Arabidopsis thaliana: one gene and its partner. The protein of the gene in region 1 interacts with the protein of each later gene in a pairwise test. Each region holds a gene or a part of one and is shown on either strand. Other genes may lie near its edges.

Region 1 (3,576 bases):
ATATGTGGAAAAGCGAAAAACCAATCCTTCTGTACGAGCTACATGAAATCCAACCCAAAGACCTCAGGTGCTGATCTTCAAACGCTTGCAAATATCACATTTGGTTCTGCACAAACAAGTGCATCAGAAGGTTTCAGGAAAATTCAATCTCTAGTCAAGACAGCAACCAACCCCACTATGAAGAAAGCATACACCTCATGTGTACAACATTATAAGAGTGCAATAAGCAGTCTCAATGATGCTAAGCAGAGCCTGGCGTCAGGCGATGGCAAAGGGTTGAACATTAAGGTTTCAGCAGCTATGGAAGGACCTTCAACATGTGAACAAGACATGGCGGATTTCAAAGTTGATCCTTCAGCTGTGAAGAACAGTGGTGATTTTCAGAATATTTGTGGCATTGTACTTGTCATCTCAAACATGATGTGAGAGTGGGATTGATTCAATCTCCCTTCATCATACTCATTAGACGATTACATTAAACAGTAATGCATAAATGTTACATATATAATCAAAGAACTTTTTTTCTCCAACCCACACATCAACAAGAACCTGGTTTCTTTTCAACTTGTTATTCCATATAACTCAACTCTATTGATAAAAGAAACTAAGAGACAACAACTAGTAATAGACTTATAACAAAGAGGAGTCTGAAATCAAACACTCTTAATAAACTCATGATCTTTTTACAGATCAAGTATAATACAACAGAAGGAAACAAACAAACAAACAAAAAAGAGAGAAATTCACAGAGAAACATGAGAACAATGCAGGAAAACTCAAAAGGAATATACTTTATTCAACATACAAGATGCATACCCGAGAAAAAGATCAATGATGAAAATGCTGCTACAAGATAATTAGAGAGAGACAGAGGTAGGCTTGTAGTCAATAACCAAAACTTTATCCAAGCTGCCAAGGAAGATGGTGGCGAATTCAACGTGAGCAGGATGAGCAATGTACTCTGCAACAGCTTCTTTACTCTCAAATGTGGATTCAAAGATGTGTGTGTAACCTTGATGCAGATTCTCAATGCTCACATCTTTTCCCCTAAAATTATACAGATCCAATAATTCAATAAGACAAGAGCAGATTCGTCGATTTAGTTGATTTAACTTTTCAAAAGATCATCAATGGAGATGGATTCTCTCTGAGGGAAATTAGATCAACACTAGGAAGGTCATGAATTTCCCCAAATTGCTTAGTTTTACATAATCATATTGAGTTGATGGAAGTGTTTTTCGGATCTCGAGCATATGTCTAACACTAGGAAGCAATTCAGAATCCAAATTTACTAACCAGTGGAAAGCTTTCATAGGTTCGATGAGATTGACGAGATTGGCGTAACCTTTGATGAGCTCTTCGATTTTCTCAGGACTAACCCCATCTTTGAAACTAGCAAGCAATACGTGCTTCACAGGTCCCTTTGCTTCCTCCATTTTTGATCCTTATCCCCTGCGAATGCAAATCTCCACTATTCCACTTATCAGCTCTCTAAAGTCTTAACTAAAAATGGACGGTCGAGATCTTTGATTAAAAGAGCGGATTTGCGACGTGCAAATACGATCGTCGGATTATTGTTTTCGTTCCAAAAAATTAAATAAAACGTCCTCAGATATAAACATTACCAGATGCTCCTGGTATACTCTGTATTGAATCTTCTTCTTTTTTTTTTCTTTTCTGTGCAAATTGAATTGAAGCTTTTTTAATTTATAAAGTGTTTGTAACAATTATGTTTACTTGATTAATCATGATAAGTGCGACAAAAAATGTATATAGAGATATTCTTACCACGGTGATAATAGAGTTGGACTGTCCAGCCGCACTTAACGCCGTTTTGCAGCCGTCCAAATAGCCTTTCTATAGAAATTGGTTAACACAAATCCATGAGATTGTTAGTGCATTTGAATCTTGTACATTCCGTCATATTGCCACAAACGCAAATCTGATCGCGCGTTCCATTTCTTGGGAGTGTGATTCAAGACAGAAGGTTTCAGTCTAAGTTTTACTTAGCACTTGGAGAGCCTTCATGACTTCACAATCAAGTGTCTAAGGAAAGTAAAGTTTAAATTTCATTTTGTATTTCTCGTTATTTTTCTGTCATTTTGTTTCTGTTTTAATAATTATCATATGACAAAAAAAAAAAAAAAAGGATATTCTTACCACTAAGTCACTAAAATGCATCTTTTTATAGAAGATATATGGTATGATGCAAATAAGTATCAAAATAATCATCTATGTTCTGTGTAACATGCATTAATTAAGCAAAATAATTTACAGCATTTAAGTTCCTCTTGAGACCAGTCTTATTTACCATTTCTTTTATTGAATTTTTAACCCAAGACTAACTCTCAGGAGCTTCCAAATAAAGACTTCCCTGTAATCACTTTTTTTTTTTTGTCACACTTTTTGAAAGCGAATACCCGAGAGCTGCAAATGAAACCCATTAGTCAAGTAATCTCTACTACATGTTCTCCTTCTAGATCCGTCTCTTAGATGCTTAGAGCCAACAAGCCTGCCTCAGTCTACAGGTTACCCGGTTTATACCATAACGAGGAATGCTAGAAAAAAGGGTGTCAATTTGGGGCCATTGAAGTCTGTGTTTAAGGCAGGAAGCTATTCCATCAGCTCAGATCAAAACCCGCTTCTGCGCTTATGGCGTACATCAATTTGGTCTCAAGTAGCTCTTTGCTGCATCATTAACAACAAGACATGCTTTATTTGCTTTTTCCAATTACAACACCAAGAGAAGCTATTTGGCAACAAAACAAGTCTCTTAGCTAAGCAAAACCAAAGAGTTTGTGTTATGAGAGGACAAACCTTTGATAGGGCGGAAGCTTAAGAAGATTCATACAAGTGGCTGATGTCGGTAGTCTATCAACTGATTCATTACTCGCACTACCGGCAGCCCTGATACACATTCCATCGAGGATGGATATTTTATGATTCTATTGTCCAGGGCCCATCAAAAGTCAAAACGATTGTGAGTCTGTGTATATTACCTCTGTATGCAGAATGCAGGTTCCAAGTATTTGAAACCCAGCAGTGGTCCTCGTGAGCAGCCTGTCACAAACCTGAAATTGAAAAATAGAGGTACCTCTTAGTTCCCTTAGAAAATTCATAGACTCCGGTAAATCATTGCGTACACAGACTGTAGTAGTAACTGCAAAGTTTGCTTACTTTAAGAACTTCTTCTGGTTTTCAGTTGAGAAGCTTTTCATAACTTCCCAGAACATATCGATCACATAATGTCCCTGTCAAGTGTCAACAACATAGCGATATAATCATATATAACAATACTCCAAAAGTGTCCCTACACTAATTCACAATGGCATTTCGGCTAACAGTGAAGAACCACTCACCGCGTGGTAGCCTCCAGCATAATTAGTGTTGTTTCGCAAGTCGTCTATATCCAAACTATCAACTGAACCAGATATGAGAACCTGCAACCAAAGCCCACAAAGGTAAAATTTCTCTCTTCATGCTCCTCGAGGGAACAACTAACAAAGCAAGTATAATTATACACTTAATTGGCACCTGAAGCTCATGTTCATTGAACATGTCGATCCATTCTTTCGG
Region 2 (3,308 bases), on another chromosome or scaffold:
ATACAATGCCTGAAGATATAGCCTGACCGTATATCCCATAGTTAAACTTTGAATCATCTGCTTTAGCAGAACAATTGCTCTTAAGAAGCTCAGGGACTGTTTTGATCCATTCAGTTTCTCCACTGCTCACAAATTTAGTCCCACAATACAGAATCTGAACACAGAGTCGCGGATCTGGCTGAACTTTACACGCAAATCTCCAACAAGTATCGTTACGCTCCACTGACAACATGTACCAAAACGCTCCAGTTATCTGTCAAAATGTGTTTGTAAAGTCAGAAAGTGACCAATGATGAATAAATGTCTCAAAACACTAATTAAGAAGAGTCATATATACATAGAAACGCTTACGTGGCTTGCAAGCATATACCAGAGAAGATAATAAGCAGCACCAGCCCAAGCTCCTTCGGCAAAAGCTCCTGCAGTTTTCTTCAACTCTGATGTTAACGGAATAAACCTCACGAATCTCGGAATATACTGCACAATTACAATGTTCAACAATGCCGTTTTCGTTGGTAACACATCCGATCCTTTAGACCCGTGAAGAAACTTCCACACTGCAATCTGTAATATCCACACAAAACATCATAATCAATCCCAAAAGTCCAATATTTTTAGTAACCATCAAAGGATCTTTTCACTCTGTTTTACCTGCGGTAAAGGCAGCACTGCAAGAAAATCGACGACGAAATAACGGGTTAAATAGCGTTCAGCGATCTTTGCAGGATCAATCACAAGCTCACCACGACCAAACACACGAGAAGAAGGAGCTATATAAGCTGTACGAAACTGAAGAGCCATTCTAGTTAAGTAAAAAACGTCAACAATGGTTCTAAGAGTCGTCGTTGTAACAGCTAGTTTCGTATCAATCCCTATACAGCTGCTTCCGGAATTATCGACAATGGGAAGATAGAAGAACAAAGGATCAACAGAGACAGCTAAAATACACGAAATGACGAACAATCTGTTCCATACGAGAAGTGTTTTGTCTTGAGGATCAAAGATTTTCTTCTCTGTTATTCTTAAGTCTTCTGGAAAAACCGCTCTTGTAACGGATTTACCGATGGTTATTAGACCTTCTGATCTGATTTTTTTAACTCCTTCCCTGAAAGATTTGGATGCTTTCTTCTTTTCACCTCCTCGGTTCTTTAGGTTAAATCCGAAACAGTTTCTCTGCATCATCATTCCAGTCGCAGGAGAAGAACTTGAATCTATATCATCTAACCTGTAATTATAAGTTAAATGTCATTCATAGATCTGAAGAAAACAAAGAAAAATATTGCGATCTTTTGATTTTCTTACCTAACGAATTTTTCTCTTTGGCCGCTTATGTATTGGGATTTGTACATTATTCTGAGAAACAATCATAAGCTTCATGCAAAAATTAACCTAACAACATCACAACAGATCTCAATTATATGAAATAAAAACTGGAAAAGAGCTAATTAAGGATCGGCAACAAATACTTAAAGTGATTTGTAATAAATGTGGGAAAGTGTATGAATGATTAAGGAAAATCTAGGGCTTGAAGAAACTTGAGAATGAAGAAATTGAGGGTTCCTACTTAGTACCATAGATGACGGATGAATGATTGAATACTCCTTTAGATTGGACCGTTGTGAAAGTTGGTTACCATAATCATACACTAACTAACTTTTGATGCGGAGCGTATTTACCGCGTATTTTGACGAGGCGCGAAGAGTTATTATAGCTCTCTTCTCTTCTATCTAATTCACTCTCTTTATTGGCTTTCGATGAGTAGCGAATTTACCGCGTATTTTTTGGTGAAACTGTAATGTCAGAAAGTTATCACGCTTCTACACTAATATGTAACAAAATATGGGGTTTAAAATGTTATTCAATAAAAAGGAAATCTTATGTTGATGGGCCATAATAAGGCCCACTTATACATGGTACTAAAACCTCTGATGGATAAACCTTGTGTGCTGTTGATCGGAAAGGAAAAGTAAAAAAGAGAGATCTGAGAAATGGGAAATGAGACGAAGACCAACGGTGGTCCTGCAAGTATGGCCGGAGGCGGAGGATTCAGAGCTAAAATGGAACATTACGTTTACAGTGGTGAAAAGAAGCACGTCTTGGTCGGGATCGGAATCGTCACCATCATCTTCGGAGTTCCTTGGTATTTGATGACTCAAGGTCCGATCTCTCTCTCATCGTTTAATAATTGTATAACCAAATCCCTTCTTGGGGATTGAAAGGGTAATTGGTAGAAGATGAAATTGGAGGATTTTGATTGCAATTAGATTCTGATTTTGGTTTTCTTGCAAAATGAGAAACATGACATAGTGAGTAAATGGTTTCTCAGTATATATGGAAATGGATCACATTGTTTCATTCTAACATTCCCATAGGACCTGAATCTGTATATCTCTTACATCTGCTTTTGGTTACATCCTATAGTGTTGACTCTGTTTGGGCTAATTGGTTGAAGTTCTTTGGTTTCTTTTAGGGTCAAAGCATCAATCTCACCAAGATTACATGGACAAGGCCGATAAAGCTCGAAAAGCACGCCTCTCATCGTCTTCATCAGCTAACAAGTAGTCTGTCTGAAGGATTGAGTCATTTGCACACTGTTATCTCGTACTCATTTTCCCACACAAGTTAAAACTTAGTCAAAATCTGAGTCTTTTTTGTGATTTAGATTCAAAATCATTCTCATTTTCATGCACCATGTTTGGTTATCCGTTTTTTAATAAAAAGATCAAAGATTCTATCACATTTGGATTGACAATGCCTATGATAAAAATTCCCAAGATTCCATTGTGTAAAGGAAACAAATCATTAATATCTGTAAGCAACATAACAATATAAGTTGATGTCTACTTTCTGGGGAGCACATTCATGTCTCTCTTCTTATAGAGGCATGAGTCTTCTGTACTTGAAGAACCAGACGAATGCCGAAAATATCACAAAGCCACATACTCCAGTAATTATGAGTACCCATCTGAATGCACCTGGCTGATTGAAGAAGTCTATCTCAAAGTTCATCCCAAAGATCCCAGCAACGACCCCAAATATGGCTACAACAAACGTTGCAGTCGTCAGAAGCAACTCGAACTGGATCAGCTGATTCCGCACATTATCCTGCAGATATTGAAGAGGTTTTCAGCATGACTCTTGTGCATTCTCAATCTGGATTAATATCAGCTGTGGAAGATGGAATTTTGAGGTATTACCAGTTGAATGTTAATGAAATCTTCAGTGTCATCAATGTACTCCTTTAACTGTAAAGTAAAGAGAGGAACACAGATGATTAAAGCTGTCTAGCGAAGAAAGATCAAAAGTAA

What was found. The genes of interacting proteins can lie anywhere in the genome.
Region 2: the proteins of HS1 (region 1) and AT1G16000 interact in a protein complementation assay, tested with the Arabidopsis thaliana proteins (one large-scale study listed by BioGRID).

What each region holds. Positions count from the first base shown.
Region 1 is NC_003074.8:5,880,178-5,883,753, reverse strand, and holds HS1 (heat stable protein 1), read right to left. Parts: upstream 1,836-3,576; 5' UTR 1,789-1,835; intron 1,690-1,788; exon of another isoform or gene 1,678-1,689; 5' UTR 1,437-1,677; coding exon 1,297-1,436; intron 1,048-1,296; coding exon 858-1,047; 3' UTR 554-857; downstream 1-553. Other genes in the region: PMEI2 (pectin methylesterase inhibitor 2), read left to right, coding at 1-426; UPL6 (ubiquitin protein ligase 6), read right to left, coding at 2,622-2,688, 2,818-2,907, 3,000-3,071, 3,178-3,251, 3,360-3,440, 3,535-3,576.
Region 2 is NC_003070.9:5,492,588-5,495,895, forward strand, and holds AT1G16000 (GAG1At protein), read left to right. Parts: upstream 1-1,945; 5' UTR 1,946-1,988; coding exon 1,989-2,157; intron 2,158-2,470; coding exon 2,471-2,562; 3' UTR 2,563-2,772; downstream 2,773-3,308. Other genes in the region: CNGC7 (cyclic nucleotide gated channel 7), read right to left, coding at 1-253, 352-564, 652-1,225, 1,303-1,349; MGT2 (magnesium transporter 2), read right to left, coding at 2,875-3,105, 3,198-3,245.